5 linked regions of the Macaca fascicularis genome follow. The protein of the gene in region 1 binds, or shares a complex with, the protein of each later gene. Links are inferred from orthologs where the notes say so. Each region holds a gene or a part of one and is shown in the gene's direction. Other genes may lie near its edges. The genes, in order: NUP107, CETN3, E3 SUMO-protein ligase RanBP2, NUP214 and NUP153.

What was found.
Region 2: NUP107 (region 1) and CETN3 share a complex: the UniProt entries of both Homo sapiens proteins name them as parts of the nuclear pore complex. The link is inferred for Macaca fascicularis from reciprocal best matches to the Homo sapiens genes NUP107 and CETN3.
Region 3: NUP107 (region 1) and E3 SUMO-protein ligase RanBP2 share a complex: the UniProt entries of both Homo sapiens proteins name them as parts of the nuclear pore complex. The link is inferred for Macaca fascicularis from reciprocal best matches to the Homo sapiens genes NUP107 and RANBP2.
Region 4: NUP107 (region 1) and NUP214 share a complex: the UniProt entries of both Homo sapiens proteins name them as parts of the nuclear pore complex. The link is inferred for Macaca fascicularis from reciprocal best matches to the Homo sapiens genes NUP107 and NUP214.
Region 5: NUP107 (region 1) and NUP153 share a complex: the UniProt entries of both Homo sapiens proteins name them as parts of the nuclear pore complex. The link is inferred for Macaca fascicularis from reciprocal best matches to the Homo sapiens genes NUP107 and NUP153.

The regions. Positions count from the first base shown.
Region 1 is NC_088385.1:75,503,423-75,506,259, forward strand, and holds the end of NUP107 (nuclear pore complex protein Nup107), read left to right. Parts: intron 1-1,441; coding exon 1,442-1,609; intron 1,610-1,963; coding exon 1,964-2,071; 3' UTR 2,072-2,282; downstream 2,283-2,837. UniProt on the Homo sapiens protein: Plays a role in the nuclear pore complex (NPC) assembly and/or maintenance. Required for the assembly of peripheral proteins into the NPC. May anchor NUP62 to the NPC. Involved in nephrogenesis.
Region 2 is NC_088380.1:94,405,597-94,410,061, reverse strand, and holds the start of CETN3 (centrin-3), read left to right. Parts: upstream 1-1,648; 5' UTR 1,649-1,774; coding exon 1,775-1,791; intron 1,792-3,614; coding exon 3,615-3,750; intron 3,751-4,465. UniProt on the Homo sapiens protein: Plays a fundamental role in microtubule-organizing center structure and function. As a component of the TREX-2 complex, involved in the export of mRNAs to the cytoplasm through the nuclear pores.
Region 3 is NC_088387.1:16,257,923-16,261,803, forward strand, and holds part of E3 SUMO-protein ligase RanBP2, read left to right. Parts: intron 1-902; coding exon 903-3,881. UniProt on the Homo sapiens protein: E3 SUMO-protein ligase which facilitates SUMO1 and SUMO2 conjugation by UBE2I. Involved in transport factor (Ran-GTP, karyopherin)-mediated protein import via the F-G repeat-containing domain which acts as a docking site for substrates.
Region 4 is NC_088389.1:12,731,358-12,735,718, reverse strand, and holds the start of NUP214 (nuclear pore complex protein Nup214), read left to right. Parts: upstream 1-1,538; 5' UTR 1,539-1,657; coding exon 1,658-1,702; intron 1,703-3,266; exon of another isoform or gene 3,267-3,368; intron 3,369-3,799; coding exon 3,800-3,995; intron 3,996-4,361. UniProt on the Homo sapiens protein: Part of the nuclear pore complex. Has a critical role in nucleocytoplasmic transport.
Region 5 is NC_088378.1:155,267,542-155,271,422, forward strand, and holds part of NUP153 (nuclear pore complex protein Nup153), read left to right. Parts: intron 1-2,220; coding exon 2,221-2,577; intron 2,578-3,555; coding exon 3,556-3,828; intron 3,829-3,881. UniProt on the Homo sapiens protein: Component of the nuclear pore complex (NPC), a complex required for the trafficking across the nuclear envelope. Functions as a scaffolding element in the nuclear phase of the NPC essential for normal nucleocytoplasmic transport of proteins and mRNAs.

The DNA.
Region 1 (2,837 bases):
CTTGTAAAGAAGCACTTTAATATTTGCTTTTATGTATTTATGCTTCAAACAGGATCAAAATATCAATAGTAATTTTTCCTATGTGTGGAAACCTGACTTAAATTAGCCCAAATTAGTACAATTACTCCTTGGTATTAATTACCAGATTATATTTTGTTGTTGATTAACCCCTCCACTTACATCTTCATTTGAAAAATGTTTTAGCAATTTAATATAGCCTCTCACATGAAGATATTTTTAGATATTCCATTAGGCTTTTCAAAGGAGCAGTTATTATTTTAGCTTATCCTGTTTTTATGTTTTTTGTTTTTTCTGCACTATTAGTGCTATTGATTTCCTTTCTGTTTTTAAGATTATTTCAGAAATTGTAGTGTGTCATTCCTGTAATCCCAGCACTTTGGGAGGCTCAGGCAGGAGAATCACTTGAGCCCAAGAGTTTGATACCAGCTTGGGCAACATAGGGAGACCCCATCTCTGCAAATAATAAAATTATTATTTTTTTAAAATAAAAAAATTAGCCAGGCATGGTGGCACATGCCTGTGGTTCTTAGCTACTTGGGAGGCTGAAGTAGGAGGATCACTTGAGCGCGGAGATCAAGGCTTCAGAGAGCCATGATTGTACCACTGCATTCCAGACTGGGCAACAGAGAGAGACACTGTCTCAAAAAAGAAGAAAAAGGTAAAAAAAGAAAAGAAAAAAAAAAAAAAAAAATTATGTGTTTGGTTACTTTTTAATTATTTTAATTTTCAAATTTGTTGTAAGTAAATGTAGTGGGCATAAGAGGTTTACTCTTTTTTCTGTACTTTTACTGTTCACATCGATTTTAAGAAAGATCCATGTATGTATAAAGGAATGACAATTGTTTTTCCTACTTGTTTTCCTCATATATCTGTTCTGACTCATTAATTGTATTATTCAAGTCTATAGGTTCTGTTTTTCTGTTTTTAAAAACTATATGAAGAAATCATAAATTCCATTTTCCTTGTTTATAAGAAAAGTAGTCTGCAGTGAAGTTGACCCTCCCTGTGTGCCCCTCCCCATATCCTCTTTTTTCCAGCAACAGTCATTGCTGTCAGTCTGGTGTGTCCTCTCAGGCCTCCTTAGAGCTATCTTGATTTATCTGTGTGAACATCCAAGGGAGTGGTGATTGTTTTCTGTTCTGATTTTTGCTCTAATGATATTCAGTTTCTAACTCATTCTTTTTATGCATGTTTTTATTCAGGACACAGTAAGTTTATTAGAAATACAAATGCAGAAGCATTTTATTTTCACTGTCATACCTCTGACCTCTCTGTAGTCTACTTTATTCATCTTCATACTTTTTTGCTGTTAAATCTTATCTACCAATTACATTCTGGATTTGATTCAGTACTTAGCTTTTCTTTTTGTAAGGATCTTTAGCTTAAATTGTTAAAATGATTTATTGATGTCTGTTTGTAGGATGCTGAAGAAGACCATGAAAGAACACATCAAATGGTTTTACTGAGAAAGCTTTGTCTGCCAATGTTGTGTTTTCTGCTTCATACAATATTGCACAGTACTGGTCAGTATCAGGAATGCCTACAGTTAGCAGATATGGTATCCTCTGAGCGCCACAAACTGTACCTGGTAAGTTCTAGAGCATTGTAGTTTTAAATTTTAATGATTTGATATGCGCTGTAGTAATATTTTGTGAAGATGTGTTTACATTTGTAATTGTTCTTGGATTTTCTTAAAGTAATAGTCCTGTTTTAATGTTTGTGCTTTTTTCCCAAAATGTGTATATATTTGTAAGCAGTTAGAAATATATAGACTGACTCTGAGAATTCGCCTTGAAATTCCTGAACCACTCTAATTTACTAGCCTTTGGCTACATAAATCTTAAAGAGGAATTTCTTCTTATATGAAGCTAATCAGATTGATTAGCTAACTAAGTTCATACTTGTCTTTGTTCTCATTCTTATTTCTCTTTTTAAAAATCAGGTATTTTCTAAGGAAGAGCTAAGGAAGTTGCTGCAGAAGCTAAGAGAGTCCTCTCTAATGCTCCTAGACCAGGGACTTGACCCATTAGGGTATGAAATTCAGTTATAGTTTAATCTTTGTAATCTCACTAATTTTCATGATAAATGAAGTTTTTAATAAAATATACTTGTTATTAATTTTTTCTTTTGCATTGCCATGTAAAATTTAGACATTTGAATTTTGTACATTTCAGAATATTATCGTGACACTTTGAACATGTAATGTATATATATCAGCGTTTCTCTGTATGCTTATTAATAAAACTATATAAAAACTAAAATTTTTGTTTTTACAAATTCGAGGATTGTCTCTTTATGAGAAAATTAAATTTTCTATTCTAGTTTTTTCTGTAATCATAAGCATTCTGAAATTTTAAAATCATAAAGATGGGCCAGGCGTGGTGGCTCAAGCCTGTAATCCCAGCACTTTGGGAGGCCGAGACGGGCCGATCATGAGGTCAGGAGATCAAGACCATCCTGGCTAACACGGTGAAACCCCGTCTCTACTAAAAAATACAAAAAACTAGCCAGGCGAGGTGGTGGGCGCCTGTAGTCCCAGCTACTCGGGAGGCTGAGGAAGGAGAATGGGGTAAACCCAGGAGGCGGAGCTTACAGTGAGCTGAGATCTGGCCACTGCACTCCAGCCTGGGCGACAGAGCCAGACTCCGTCTCAAAAAAATAAAAAATAAAATAAAATCATAAAGATGATGGAAAGTAGATTTATTTTTAAGCCAGGTAAGTAATTTTTTATAAAATGTAGTATTTTTTGAATATTAAAAGTAAGACTATAACAAGAATGTTTTCTAACATAACATGCTATTATTATTTTAGTTATT
Region 2 (4,465 bases), on another chromosome or scaffold:
TAAAATTGTATAAAATATTTTAATAATTTTTAAACCTCCCTTTTGTTAAATTACTAACCTTACTAGTGGCACTATTCCTTTTCTTGTTACATTTCCTGTCTTTGAATTTCACTGGTATTGCCAAAAAGCAGCTTTATACCAGACTATGAGCACTTTATCAATTTGACCAGTTTCCTTTTAAAACGTTGTTCTCAAACTTTACTAATTTCCTCTTCCTAATTTCAATTATACAATTTTGTTCTTCATTTCTAACATCTTCAAATAAATGCCTGGTCTATTTTTATTATTTCTTATTTAAAATAATGTTCTCCTATAGTTTGGTCTGTGTCTTAAAATGTTAACATATAGTTTTTTTCAATATCACTATGTTCTAGTAATTACAATTTCTCTTTCCTTTTAGACTCAAAGGTGATTTATAAAGGTACTTTAAAATTTAAAATACGAACAAAATAAAAGTTCCGCTTTTGTTTTTTAGGGGTGCTATCCCTTAGCTAATTTTTAGCTTGTTCTATCATACTATCTTTACTTGTGCAAATTTAGCCCATCCTTGTAGGTCTAACGTTTATGCCACCTCTTTAGGAAGCCTATCTTGTGCTCTCTCCCTTCTCTAAAATTTTATATACATCCCTTAAACATATGTTTACATATTCTCCGCCTTCAACTCCCATTCTCAGGCTATTTTATTCCCGTTTATGAGATTTGCTGTTTAGCTCAGTATTTTGTGGGTTTTCAAAAGATTCCACTCAATTTACCGAGCACCTATGCACCAGACATTTTATTAGGTACAAGGAAAAGCGTTAAATAGATATAATCACGGCCTTCAAGAAATTGAACCTGGTAAGGGAGACGAATAAGTAGACATTCAAGTGAGCTTTAGGAGACTTGGTTTGGTAGTGAATACAGTCTCACGTGTATTAACAATTTACAGCACCGTAAAATAAGAGACAGAAGCCAACAAATCCGTTTCAAACAGTTCAAAGGAGGAAAAGGAGAGGGAAGGGCGGTTTAGATACAGCATCACCATAAATAGCCTGATAATCTAACCCTGTGATAATCCAAGTATAGTCACAGCACCTGCCTCAGAATCACTTGGAAGGCTTGTGAGGAATACAAACGCAGATTCATACCTACTGAAATTAGAATGGAGAAAGGGGCATTTAAGTCTGCATTTTAAACACATTCCCCAGGTACTGAAGCCATCCAAAGTTTTAGAACAGAGCACAGCCACGCTTCGCAGACCTTGTTCCTCAACTACTGCCTCCTTCTAGCCGGAGGGTGGCCTGCAGCGTGTCCCTTCCCTTCCCACCGTCCAAGTTATCCATCTAGTTTTCGAACGTCGGCCCACAGACCGCAGGACAATACGCGAGAGACTAGGAGCACCCACCACGCAAACCACCACACAGGGATCGGAGGCCGGACCCGCAAAGGATTCGGGGAAAAAGGCATCAGGCCAATCCGAAGGGCGAGAGCGGCCCTAGGAATGGAGGGGCGGGGTGGGTGGCGGGGGGGGGGGGGGGCGGGGAGAGAGAGGTTTTTTTTTTTTCTTGATTGACGTAAAGCGTACCCAATGAAAATAAAATTGGTAAAGCTTCCGCCATAATGGGCAGAACCATAGCGACATTTCAACCAATCCAGCTCAAAAGTGTCTATGTTGTGGGAGGTCCCTGAGGCCGCTGAGGTCGTTCGTGTCTGTTGAACGGTTGTGGGAGTCTTGCTGCTTTGGGTAGGGGGTTAAAATCGTTTCTTGAGAGGAACGACTCTATCCGAAGAGATAATGAGTTTAGCTCTGAGGTCGGTAATAAGGAGGCGGCAGTGCTCTCCACACCCCGGAGCGGGACCTAGGGAGGGTGTGTGTGGAAGGGAGGCCGTTTGGGGCCGTGGCGAGGCAGGGGATGCTGTTTGGGATGCGGGAAAGGAGCCTAGGGCAGCCTGTCTGGATCACTCACCCTCTGGGCTCTGGTGCCCTGCAGGGAACGAGACTTCCAGTGCATTTCTACTAAGGAGGTTATTTCTGTCAGCGCGTAGGGCTTTGGACTACCAAAAAAATGGGCTTAGTTGCGAGCGAGGGGGAGGGAATGAAATATCGCGAGGCTTCTACTCTGTTGCTCTGAGAGATCAGGCCGCGGAACATCCCTTCATTCAATTCGTATGCCTGGCCAGGGCCCCACCTCCGCTGCTCTGCTGCTGATGCAATCATCCACCTATAAATTTTGGAAATAACAAAAAACTCTTTGCTATTCTCCCAAGGTCCTGCTTTACGGTGTAATTAGAAACCCATTTTAGTGACTAATTGGCAAACTGTCTCTTGGATTTCCTGTTTCTTTCATTTCTTTACCTTTCAGTTCTAACCTCTAACCCTCTGTCTGTTACCCGCTCCCCCTACGTAGACGTTGTACCGTAAAACTATACATATACTTAGGACACTCTAAAAATGTTCCATGTTCTGCTAAGGGATAATCATGGTACCCTTGGATGGGGTCAGGGGTGGGTCGGTTCTGGACTTGGCCTCTAAAAGTCTCAGGAAGGAAAAGACTGACCCCAGGAATACCCAAGTTTGTGTCAAGTCAGGTCTCATGAAAGGAAGATCTTCCTCAGCTTTGTCATACTGCATCTACTGGTCACTTCCTAGCCTTTTTTTTTTTTTTTTTGTAGCGTTCAGAGACCAAAACGACTTTCAAATGCAGCTAGATACGTGTTTTAAATACAGTCAACTGGTTTTGACATGTTAATGTGTTACCAGATTGTGTGTTTCAAAACTTGTTCTTATACCAGTGTTGCGGCTCCATTGGAAAACTTGGAGCACATTTAGATGGGCAGCTCTTACGGAAAACATTTCTGGCTTTAAAGTAATTTTTGCTTTTTTCTTTAAGCGTTTCCAGAGTTTATGAGAAGTTTAACCTCCAGTTTACATCTTAAGTGAGATAAGACTTATGAAGCACAAATATTGTATACTTTTTTGACATCTAATATTTGTCATATGTTTAGACTCATTAATATTTTGGGTGATTTGTTAATATCAGTGGAGGAAATGACACATAAATTGCCAAACTGTTAGAAACGTGTAATCTAAAAACATTTTGAACCAACAGTCCCAAAATATAAGTTAATCCAGTTGTATTTTTTGTAGTAATTTTATGAACTTAATTATCAGAACTATCAAAAGTAAACCGATATATGGTGATTGTCAGTTACGAATTTTGGTTTCATTTGGAGATTTTTTGGTTTCTTTAACATTCTTGTAGAATAATGTGAGTGTTTTTGTTTTTTTTTTGGTTGGAGTTGGTTGGAGTTTCAGACATAAACGTAATGTTGCTTATTCACAGTTCTTGAATAAATAAAAAGTTAGGGAAAGTGGGAATAAATAAAAAGCTGGGAAAAGGAAAAGTTTGGTCCTCATTTCTTTTAATAATCTGTAACACTCTTTAGTTTTGGGAAGTTCATATTTATAGCAATTTAGACTATGGAATAAACAGGGCATTGACTCATAAAGGGAAAGTTTCCCTGTCTTTCTCCAAAGTACTTTCTTTTTTGAAATTTAGAAAATAATTATTGGCTAATTTCTGTTAGTAAAGAGAATTAAAGTGGACTAAGGGCTTTTTCTTTCCATTTCATAGAAGTGAGCTTGTAGTAGACAAAACAAAGAGGAAAAAAAGAAGAGAACTGTCTGAGGAACAGAAACAAGAAATTAAAGATGCTTTTGAACTATTTGATACAGACAAAGATGAAGCAATAGATTATCATGAATTAAAGGTAATGGTATACTTTAAAATACTTGTTTCTGTGTTAAAATGATTTGCATTTTGACAGTTGCTTTACATTACATTTCTAAGTAATTATTTTAACTAAATTGGTTTTGGAACTATGAAGGCATTTTAAGCATTCATAGTTAGATTCTATAATAATACTGAATAGAACTCCTAACACAGTTTTTAGAAAATCTTTTTCACGTGATAAAACGAATAGCATTTTAAATGTAACAATACATTCCTAGGGAAGGTGCTTATTTTTCACTGACATAATTAAAGGATTTCAAACTGGAATTTAAACTATTACCATATTCTTTTCACTGTTTTTTTTGTTTTTGTTTTTGTTTCTTGGTGACTCATACTGTTTTCAGATTGTGGGATTGTTGTCTTTTAATCTTATAATTTGTATTTGTTAGTAACATAGTCTCAATCCACTTTCTGTGGTACAGACAACTTCAGTGCTGTTTGATGTTGACACATGCTAGTAGGTAAAAATGTCAACTTTAAGACCTAGAATGTCAAGGTGTAGAGAGGGATTTGTAAATTATTATTTGTCAGGGTATAAGGAGAGATTTGGGTTTAGGGTTGAGTGGGACTTACTTTCAGCACAGTGGGAAAGATAGTATTTTGAGATTTTTAATAGCCTTAATGGATAGGTGAATGTAAGTGTTTATTTGATAGTTTTAATTTTTGTAATTTCTTAAGGGATTTTTAAGCAT
Region 3 (3,881 bases), on another chromosome or scaffold:
TCCAGATATAGAAATTATACTTCTTAGTCACCTTTTGTGTTACAATAAGTGTGAATATTTAGAATATTTTAAAAATGGGAGTGGTAGTGGTGGATCCTTCATCATTCTGTTTTAACAGAAATAGAACTACAATGCCCTTGCTGACCCACTATGTGGTAAGTACTTTCAGGCCTGATACAGCTATATATATAACAATTGATTGAAGACTCAAAATTACAGTGGTAGTTGAATGTGATAGCTTTGAGGACAGAGTGATGGGGTGCATTTAGACCCTTGCTCTTCTGCTTATTTTGACCACAGGCAAGTTTCTTAACCTCTCAATGCATCAGTTGCCTCATATGTAAAATGAGGATAATAATAATACCTTAATTCATAGGGTTTTTGAGGATATTAAAATGAGATAATAATGTAAAGTGCTTAGAATAGTGCCCAGCTGGCACATTAATAAATGCTCAATAAATGTTACCATCATCATCATCATCATCATTATTAACATCATTTGATAAATTGTTTAGGAATGAAGATGGTATTTATTTTATGACTTTAGTTGTAGATTTTAAGATGCTGTAATTAATTTTCATTATATGCCAAGTATATATGCAAGTATCTTTGTAGCAATGTGGTTTTCTCTTAACCTATTTATGCCTAGTGTTCCATTATTGGAACACTAAGCTTTTGGGAGTTATTTATATCTTACTGCTCAGGGTCATTGCCAAGGTCTGATTTTTCACACAGAAAATTTGCAGCCTCTGGCATAAACGGGTTAATGATGTGTACTACATCCCCTAATGATATCTTCTTCACTTAATATTCATGTTTGAAGTTTGTGAGAATTGGTTTGCATTTAGTTATCTGTAGTTTTGTAGACAATCTACAAAATGTTTTAACTTTCTGTCTTCTAGGGCCCAGTCTATGGCATGAATAGGCTTCCACCCCAACAGCATATTTATGCCTATCCGCAACAGATGCACACACCACCAGTGCAAAGCTCATCTGCTTGTATGTTCTCTCAGGAGATGTATGGTCCTCCTGCATTGCGTTTTGAGTCTCCTGCAACAGGAATTCTATCGCCCAGGGGTGATGATTACTTTAATTACAATGTTCAGCAGACAAGCACAAATCCACCTTTGCCAGAACCAGGATATTTCACAAAACCTCCAATTGCAGCTCATGCTTCAAGATCTGCAGAATCTAAGACTATAGAATTTGGGAAAACTAATTTTGTTCAGCCCATGCCAGGTGAAGGAATAAGGCCATCTTTGCCAACACCAGCACACACAACACAGCCACCTCCTTTTAAATTTAACTCAAATTTCAAATCAAATGATGGTGACTTCACATTTTCCTCACCACAGGTTGTGACACAGCCCCCTCCTGCAGCTTACAGTAACAGTGAAAGCCTTTTAGGTCTCCTGACTTCAGATAAACCCTTGCAAGGAGATGGCTATAGTGGACCCAAACCAGTTCCTGGTGGTCAGACCATTGGGCCTCGAAATACATTCAATTTTGGAAGCAAAAATGTGTCTGGAATTTCGTTTACAGAAAACATGGGGTCAGCTCAGCAAAAGAATTCTGGTTTTCGGCGAAGTGATGATATGTTTACTTTCCGTGGTCCAGGGAAATCAGTATTTGGAACACCCACTTTAGAGACAGCAAACAAGAACCATGAGACAGATGGAGGAAGTGCCCATGGGGATGATGATGATGATGGTCCTCACTTTGAGCCTGTAGTACCTCTTCCTGATAAGATTGAAGTAAAAACTGGTGAGGAAGATGAAGAAGAATTCTTTTGCAACCGTGCGAAATTGTTCCGTTTTGATGTAGAATCCAAAGAATGGAAGGAACGTGGGATTGGCAATGTAAAAATACTGAGGCATAAAACATCTGGTAAAATTCGCCTTCTAATGAGACGAGAGCAAGTGTTGAAAATCTGTGCAAATCATTATATCAGTCCAGATATGAAATTGACACCAAATGCTGGATCAGACAGATCTTTTGTCTGGCATGCCCTTGATTATGCAGATGAGTTGCCAAAACCAGAACAACTTGCTATTAGGTTCAAAACTCCTGAGGAAGCAGCACTTTTTAAGTGCAAGTTTGAAGAAGCCCAGAGCATTTTAAAAGCCCCAGGAACAAATGTAGCCACAGCATCAAATCAGGCTATCAGAATTGTAAAAGAACCCACAAGTCATGATAACAAGGATATTTGCAAATCTGATGCTGGAAACATGAATTTTGAATTTCAAGTTGGAAAGAAAGAAGGGTCTTGGTGGCATTGTAACAGCTGCTCATTAAAGAATGCTGCAACTGCTAAGAAATGTGTATCATGCCAAAATCTAAACCCAAGCAATAAAGAACTCGTTGGCCCACCATTATCTGAAACTGTTTTTACTCCTAAAACTGGCCCAGAGAATATTCAAGATCGATTTGCATTGATGACTCCAAAGAAAGAAGGTCACTGGGATTGTAGTATTTGTTTAGTAAGAAATGAACCTACTGTATCTAGGTGCATTGCGTGTCAGAACACAAAATCTGCTAACAAAAGTGGATCTTCATTTGTTCATCAGGCTTCATTTACATTTGGCCAGGGAGATCTTCCTAAACCTGTTAACAGTGACTTCAGATCTGTTTTTTCTACAAAGGAAGGACAGTGGGAGTGCAGTGTATGTTTGGTACAAAATGAGGGGAGCTCTACAAAATGTGCTGCTTGTCTGAATCCGAGAAAACAGAGTCTACCTGCTACTGCTATTCCAACACCTGCCTCTTTTAAGTTTGGTACTTCAGAGACAAGTAAAACTCCAAAAAGTGGATTTGAGGACATGTTTGCTAAGAAGGAAGGACAGTGGGATTGCAGTTCATGCTTAGTGCGAAATGAAGCAAATGCTACAAGATGTGTTGCTTGTCAGAATCCAGATAAACCAAGTCCATCTACTTCTGTTTCAGCTCCTGCCTCTTTTAAGTTTGGTACTTCAGAGACAAGCAAGGCTCCAAAGAGCGGATTTGAGGGAATGTTCACTAAGAAGGAAGGACAATGGGATTGTAGTGTGTGCTTAGTAAGAAATGAAGCCAGTGCCACCAAATGTATTGCGTGTCAGAATCCAGGTAAACAAAATCAAACTGCTTCTGCAATTTCAACACCTGCCTCTTCAGAGACAAGCAAGGCTCCAAAGAGCGGATTTGAGGGAATGTTCACTAAGAAGGAAGGACAATGGGATTGCAGTGTGTGCTTACTAAGAAATGAAGCCAGTGCTACCAAATGTATTGCTTGTCAGAATCCAGGTAAACAAAATCAGACTACTACTGCAATTTCAACACCTGCCTCTTCAGAGACAAGCAAGGCTCCAAAGAGTGGATTTGAGGGAATGTTCACTAAGAAGGAAGGACAGTGGGATTGCAGTATGTGCTTAGTAAGAAATGAAGCCAGTACTACCAAATGTATTGCTTGTCAGTATCCAAGTAAACAAAATCAAACAACTGCAATTTCAACACCTACCTCTTCGGAGGTAAGCAAGGCTCCAAAGAGTGGATTTGAAGGAATGTTCATCAAGAAAGGACAGTGGGATTGTAGTGTTTGCTGTGTACAAAATGAGAGTTCTTCCTTAACATGTGTGGCTTGTGATGCCTCTAAACCAACTCATAAACCTATTGCAGAAGCTCCTTCAGCTTTCACATTGGGCTCAGAAATGAAGTTGCATGACTCTTCTGGAAGTCAGGTGGGAACAGGATTTAAAAGTAATTTCTCAGAAAAAGCTTTTAAGTTTGGCAATACAGAGCAAGGATTCAAATTTGGGCATGTGGATCAAGAAAATTCACCTTCATTTATGTTTCAGGGTTCTTCTAATACAGAATTTAAGTCAACCAAAGAAGGATTTTCCATCCCT
Region 4 (4,361 bases), on another chromosome or scaffold:
CGTGCTGAAAGCCAAACAGTAAACGGCACGATCTGACCCCACTGGAGCCAACCCATGAGGTCCAAGTTAAGAACCTCTGTCCTAGAGCATTTATAATTCACTACAGAAATTTATTGTACGAAGGACTGTAATATCATCAGTCAGCCTTATCCAGACAATCTCAGTTCTTATCCTGTCACTACCACTTTCTGACTGAGGGCCACCGGAGAAATTTCTCAACTTCCCCTGTGCTTCCCTTACCTCAACAATTATTATTATGTATGTGGATGTGTATATATACACATATATATCTTTTTTTTTTTTTTTTTTTTTTTTCCTGAGACGGTCTCACTCTGTCACCCAGGCTGGAGTGCAGTGGCGCAATCTTAGCTCACTGCAACCTCCACCTCTCGGGTTCATGCCATTCTCCTACCTCAGCCTCCTGTGTAGCTGGGACCACAGGCGTCCACCACCACGCCCGGCTAATTGTATTTTTAGCAGAGGTGGGGTTTCACCATGTTTGCCAGGCTGGTCTCCAGCTCCTGACAGGTGTTCCACCTACCTCAACCTCCCAAAGTGCTGCGTACAGGTGTGAGCCACCGCGCCCAGCCCATTTTTATTTTTTGAGGCAGGGTGTGGCTCTGTTACCCAGGCTGGAGTGCAGTGGTACAATCACAGCTTACTGCAGCCTCGACCTCCTGGGCTCAAGCAATTCTCCCATCTCAGCCTCCTGAGTGTGCTGAGACTACATGCGCATGCCATCACTGCTGGTTAATTTTTGTGGTTTTGTTTTGTTGTTTTTTGTAGAGACGGGGTCTCGCCATGTTGCCCAGGCTGGTCTCAAACTCCTGGGCTCAAGCAATCCTCCTGTCTCGGCCTCCCAAGTGCTGGGATTATAGGCGTGAGCCACCGGCGCCTGGCCTACCTCATCAATTAAATAATAACCCCTAGGATGACTAGAAGTCTTCAAGATTACATGAGATCCCACATCTGAAGGTTTTTGCAAAGGACGTGGCACAAACTCGTGCAACTAGAGATGCATATGGCTCTTGCTCTGGAAATGATCACCTTGATAAGAGCAAACAAAGCTGGTCTTCCGTGCCCTTTAATCTCCCCTTCCAGCCTTCCACCTTCCACACTGGCGATCCCCCGACCCCGTTTTTCTGAACCTCCCTTCCTCCCCTTGCATAGCCCAAAGCCTCTCTCTAAAGTAGCCCACCGAAAACATCTGTCAAGTTCCTAACTTATCTGAATCGGAAGCTACTAATAGCCAACCTACATCTAAGAGGAACTGTAAGGTGTCAGAGGAACAAGGAGCATAGGTCGCTTAGACGTGGGCCACCCAAGAAGACAGATTGACACTAAGCGAACCCGCGCTGTCTGCGAAGGCGGGAGCGGCACCAGGACGATCCAGGGCGCAGGCGCCGGGGCCCCACGGCCACGCCCCTATTCAGCACGAGTTGGCCAATGGGGAGCGGCGGCCGGGAGAACGCGCGGCTTCTTTAGGTTCCGCTGCCTCCCCGGCCAAGCTTGACGTCACCAACGCGCGCCGGAAATGCGAGATCAACTGCGCGCCCCTGGCGCTGAGGGAAGGAAGTTTGCAGTCCAGCGGCCTAGGTTCTGTGGGCAAGGCCGTGGGAGGCAGCGTTGGCTGCTTCGACACACCGAGGGCGGCGCGATGGGAGACGAGATGGATGCCATGATTCCCGAGCGGGAGATGAAGGTCAGAGACTAACTGGGGCCTCCCTCCCTTCTTTAGTCCTGGCGTTGCCTTGGAGCCCAGCTGAAAGGCGAAGCGCGGTGCCGGCTGTCCCGTCTCCTGCTTGAACAGACTACCGCGTTCACCGCTCTCAGCTGCGCGTCTGCCGCGCCGCTGGCGTGATAGCCCCACCGAATGCAGTTTCCCAGTCCCATCCTGGTCTCGTGCACGTCTCTTGAGTTACCCTAGCTAGTTTCATGTGGCGGTCACAATAGTGGCAATAACTGCTGTGTATGGAGCGTTGACTGTGTGCCAGTCGCTGTGTAGTCATCGCAGCAGCCCTACGAAGTGGTTATTAACGTAGAGGAGTGAGTCGAGGCTCGGAAAGTGATTTCCCTAAAGTCACATTTGACAGCGGGGCTGAAAGCCAGCATCATTTAAGACCTTCGCTCTGCCAGTATTTCTGTAAGGCGGTACGGGCTTGCCTAACGTAGAGTCAGGGGAGGTCATCCATCCTGCAGAACCTTTAGTTGACTGAACTAGGAAGACTGTTTTGATATCGGTGTATCAGCCTCAAACCAGGAACCTAAAGGGAGGGCTAAGTGTTTCCAGTGATGGCAACGTGGGAGTCCCCCAGGGATAACTTCAGGATGGTGTGTTTAATAGTTCTTATATGTGTTCTGACAGAATGAGGGTGCAGCAAACGGCCTACATCTGTTTTAAATAGTGAAAGGAAGTAAGATGCAGGAAGATTTTAGTCATCTGTGTGAACAGTAAATCACTAACATGCATGTAGGGCATAGTAATACATACCCTGTTTAGAATAGTGATTTTTTTTTTTTTTTTTTTTTTTTTTTTTTTGAGACAGAGTCTCGCTCTGTCGCCCGGGCTGGAGTGCAGTGGCCGGATCTCAGCTCACTGCAAGCTCCGCCTCCTGGGTTCACGCCATTCTCCTGCCTCAGCCTCCCGAGTAGCTGGGACTACAGGCGCCCGCCACCGCGCCCGGCTAATTTTTTGTATTTTTTAGTAGAGACGGGGTTTCACCGTGTTAGCCAGGATGGTCTCGATCTCCTGACCTCGTGATCCGCCCGTCTCGGCCTCCCAAAGTGCTGGGATTACAGGCTTGAGCCACCGCGCCCGGCCTTTTTTTTTTTTTTTTTTTTTAAGACATAGTCTCGCTCTGTCACCCAGGCTGGAGTGCAGTGGCATGATCTCGGCTCGCTGCAACCTCCACCTCCCCAGCTCAAGCGATTCGCCTGCCTCAGCCTCCCGAGTAACTGGGATTACAGGCACCTGCCACCATGCCTGACTAATTTTTTATATTCTTTGGTAGAGATGGGGTTTCACCATGTTGGCCAGGCTGGTCTCAAACTCCTGACCTCAAGTGATCTGCCCTCCTCTGGCTCCCAAAGTGCTGGGATTACAGGTGTGAGCCACCGTGTCGGCCTAGAATAGTGATTATTTTTTGAGAATCACCACCTGTGGTGAGCCACCTAATGGGATTGTGTCATATTCCTCAGATATACTGGGGTAGAAGAAAAAAAGGGTTTATTAATAGAATCACAGACTTAGAAGATGGTAATCTCAGACTCCCTTTGGCAGCACATATAAAATTGGGATCATGCAGAGAAGACTAGCATGGCCCCTTTACATGGATGACACACAAATTCGTGAAGTGTTCCATGTCAGAAAACATTGAAGGCCGAGCGGAGTGGCTCACGCCTGTGAGCCTGCACTTTGGGAGGCTGAGGCGGATGGGTGACTTGAGGTCCGGAGTTCGAGACCAGCCTGGCCAACATAATGAAACCCTGTCTCTACTAAAAATACAAAAATTAGCCGGGCATGGTGGTGGGCGTCTGTAGTCCCAGCTACTTGGGAGGCTGAGGCAGGAGAATTGCTTGAACCTGGAAGGCAGAGGTTACAGTGAAGCAAGATCGCCCACTGCACTCCAGCCTGGGCGACAAAGCGAGACTCCGTCTCAAAAAAGAAAAAAAGACAACTGAGACAGACCGTGTTCTCAGTAATATATATTTTTGTTGTACTGAAATTGGGTCTACTGAATATAACTTGTTTTAATTTCTTTATTTATTGAATTGATCTTGTTTTGATTCTTCACAACAGGATTTTCAGTTTAGGGCGCTAAAGAAGGTGAGAATCTTTGACTCCCCTGAGGAATTGCCCAAGGAACGCTCGAGTCTGCTTGCTGTGTCCAACAAATATGGTCTGGTCTTTGCTGGTGGGGCCAGTGGCTTGCAGATTTTTCCTACTAAAAATCTTCTTATTCAAAATAAACCCGGAGATGATCCCAATAAAATAGGTAAGTTCCGTGGTTTATGTTGCAAAGTAGAGAGAGGAGTGTGGTGGCATGCTCTTGTGTTTCCTTCCCAAGAAGTCATTCTAATACTAAAATGAACACTGCTGTCAGTTTGAAGGTTGACTCCCAAGAAGATTAATGGAAGCCTTTCTAGGTTTTCTCCTTGGTCCTTTGTACTTTTCCTTACATGAGTTGTTCTTCTCAGCTCAAGAGGGAAGAACTTAACCATTATGCCATACTTTTATTCTTGCCCAGTTGAACTTGGGCTCTGGCTCTCTGGGTGAAGGGTTTTATTGGCATGGGTTTTCAGTTGGCACAACAGTACGATCCAAACTATTGGCAATGTGTACTATTTAGAGCATTGTTGCA
Region 5 (3,881 bases), on another chromosome or scaffold:
ATATTTATGTGTGTCTTTCTCTTCTGTTTGGGCTTTTATAATCAGAATTGGTATCTACTACCTGGAAAATAAGGATTCTTAGCTTATGAAATATTTTCTACCATAATCTATGGTATTGTTTATAAATAGTTACAGATAACCAGTCCTCATCAGACATTAAGAAACATAGACAACAAATATAATTAATCCTGAGAAACCAAGAGATTTTGAAAGCTGAAGTCCTGGGGGAAAAAAAATGACACAGCACCTTAAAGGTTAAAAGCATCATTGTTGGTGGATCATATTAAAGTCATTCTGTGGGCGGAATAGCAGGAAGAACATAGCTGATCATCAGATTAGTGAACTAGAATTTCCCTGAACTTAGTGCACAAGTACAAAGAGTGATCCAAGTTAGATCCACAAGTTCCTCTGGAACAGGAGTGACCTAGAAGATAAGAAGTTTTGGGGGAATATCAAAGAAGTGACAGAAGAAAATTTTCTAGATCTAAAGAAAGACATTGGTCTTAAAAATGGAAATTACCTATTGGCAAAGATCACTGAAATTTAGGACACCAAAGCTAAAACCCCAAATGCTTTCAGAGAGAAAAGCTATTTGCCACAAATAGGAAGATACCAGATTAGCATCATCTTCTAATTTGCAACATCACATGCTAAAAACAGAACAGTACCCTCAAAATGAAAATGTTCTTGAACCTAGAATTCTGTTACTAGCCAAATGTGTTTAAGTATAAAGACAGTCCGGGTGCCGTAGCTCACACCTGTAATCCCAACTAGTCAGGAGGCTGAAGCACAAGAATTTCTTGAACCTGGGAGGCAGAGGTTGCAGTGAGCTGAGATTGGCCACTGCACTCCAGCTTGGGCAACAGAACGAGCCTCTGTCTCAAGAAAACCCAACAACAACAACAAACACAGAGGCAAAATACAGGTGTTTTTAGATGTGCAAAAAGTGCAAAAGTTGAATATCCATGAATACTTTTGGATAATAAATTGGAAACACTCAAAATTAACTTTTATATGGAATTCAACAAATAACTATGAGCAGTTTTTTGTCTGTCATATATTTACTTAGAAATATAAAGATAAAATAAAAGCTAAAATTACATATTATTTGGAAAGCAACAGAAATATGATAGGGTCTAATCAGATTTGATGGTGAAACACCAGGCTGTGGTAGACACTCTTAACCATTCTTCCATTAGCCAGCTTGAAAGTGAGCCAACGTGTTCCATTTTCTGTAAGTCAGACTAATGCCGATAGCATACTGTGACCAGCCCTGCATAGTGTGAAGTATTGGAACTGAGAGATTATTGGAATAGTTTAGAAAAAAGTCTTCAATAAGGTGGCTGGATTCAGAATCATGATATAAAAATCAAAAGTTTTTCTTCAAATCGGCATATCTCATTTGTTTTTTTCTAACATTTCTAACTTGTATTTTATAAAAGCAGCAGAACTTTTAACATGCCAAATAATAACACAAAAGGCGTACTTGTTGCTGGGCAAAGATATTCCCTTCCTCCTCCCATAATTTTAGTTCTTAGGGGAATTTTTGTAGAGCTTGACAAGCTAAACTTACTCTAAAATTCACATGGAAAGGAAACTATACAAGAAATTTTGGGAAAAAAGGCAGGCACACAGGCAGCTTTGTTCTGCTATCATCAGTCCATGGTGTAAAGTTGGAATAATTAAAACAGTCTAGTGATAACGGTAGAGGAAACAAGTATATGCATTTTAGGAAATGTAGTGTGTCATAAAGACAACATTGCAAATTAGTGCACAAAGCCTGTACTAGTTGATGCTGTGGAGAAATTTGGCTATCCATTTAGATAAATTGAAGTTATGATTTTGCCACATACTGTAACATAAATTGCAAAATTAAATATATAAAAGTACAGCTATCTTCCGCTATCTAAACTTGCTATTCAACTACAGTATCCAGTTAGATTTGGATTCGAGGGGTATTTTTATTAACCTGAATGCCAAAGGCCTTCCTGTGAAAGGCGCAAAATCCATAAGCTATAAAAGAAGATGAATGTATTTGATTTTGTCAAAATCTAATATAAACAGATGTCCATTTGATGAATTAATCTATATAAAAAACTTAACCTACTTTTCTAGCGAATTTTAGGGTAGGAAAGTTCTGGTGATTGTAGGGTAAGGAAAAAGTACTTTCTGAGACTATTCTTAAGGATTTATGTTTGTTTCTTAATTTCTGTCTTACAGATCAAGGTGCAGCAAAGCCAGTTTTTAGTTTCTTGAACAACAATTCCTCTAGTTCAAGTACACCAGCCACTTCTGCTGGTGGTGGCATATTTGGTAGTTCCACCTCTTCCTCCAATCCACCCGTGGCTACCTTTGTGTTTGGACAGTCCAGCAATCCTGTGAGCAGCTCTGCCTTTGGTAACACTGCTGAATCCAGCACCTCTCAGTCTTTGCTATTTTCTCAAGATAGCAAACTAGCAACCACATCCAGCACAGGTACAGCTGTCACCCCATTTGTCTTTGGTCCAGGAGCCAGCAGTAATAATACTGCCACCTCTGGTTTCGGCTTTGGAGCCACGACCACGTCTAGCTCTGCAGGTACATTTACAAAAGAAAAAAATGCATTGCAATTGGATGGGCTTTACTTATTAGCAAATAACATATAGCAGGTTATCACAAAATGGTGTGAATGCCTTTTGGTCATCTATACCAGGGTTGTTGTAATTAATCACTGTATGTACAACTTTAACATATTTACCTCTTGGGAGCCATTTTTCTCATTGTGGTAAGAGTGTAATACTTAATTTTTCCAAGCTTTGTTTTTTGTTTTTGTTTTTTTTCTTTTGAGATGGAGGCTTGCTCTGTCACCCAGGCTGGAATGCAGTGGTGCGATCTCGGCTCACTGCAACCCTCCCTCTCCCTAGTTCAAGCAATTCTCCTGCCTCAGCCTCCCAAGTAACTGGGATTACAGGTGCCTGCCACCACACCTGGCTAATTTTTCTATTTTTAGCGGAGATGGGGTTTTACCATGTTGGCCAGGCTCAAACTTCTGACCTCGTGATCCGCCCACCTCGGCCTCCTAAAGTGCTGGGATTACAGGCGTGAGCCACTGTGCCCAGCCCCAAACTTTGTTTTTAAAATGTTAGGTTGTCAGTCACCAGACACTGGAAGTTGTTTTATTAAACATCAGTCTTTATTATGCAGTATGTGTATATATATGTATATATATATATATATATATATATATGCACATCATGAGGTGATTTCTGCACACATTAGATTTCTGGTGGGAGACTTTTCTGAGATATGTTCCTTTACCAAAAATTGTTGGCTGTGAAGGTATGGAGTAGTTGTTAATTGCAGTTTTTGTTTATATGAATTTAGTATGTTTCACTAAATAATGGTAGAGAGAGTTGTATTCTCAATCATTATTTAAAACTTGTCTTGATGGAATTTGGTTAACAAGGTAAGAGTCTGAAAAGAAGCTTGACATTTGCTTGTGGGTTTTCAGAAATTTCTTGAGGATAATCTGACATTAGCCACCATGGCGACTTAAGTGTGTCTTTGGGCCTCCAGGATCCTCCTTCGTATTTGGAACTGGACCTTCAGCACCATCTGCCAGTCCAGCATTTGGTGCTAACCAGACCCCAACATTTGGACAAAGTCAAGGTGCCAGCCAGCCCAATCCCCCAGGCTTTGGATCTATATCATCTTCCACAGCATTATTTTCCAGTGGTTCTCAGCCTGCACCACCTACTTTTGGGACAGTGTCAAGCAGTAGTCAGCCCCCTGTGTTTGGACAGCAACCTAGTCAGTCTGCATTTGGCTCTGGAACAACTCCTAATTCCAGTAAGTGTGCTGTGATGCTGTTGTATCTGTATGAGTTTTGTATGTCTTAAAAT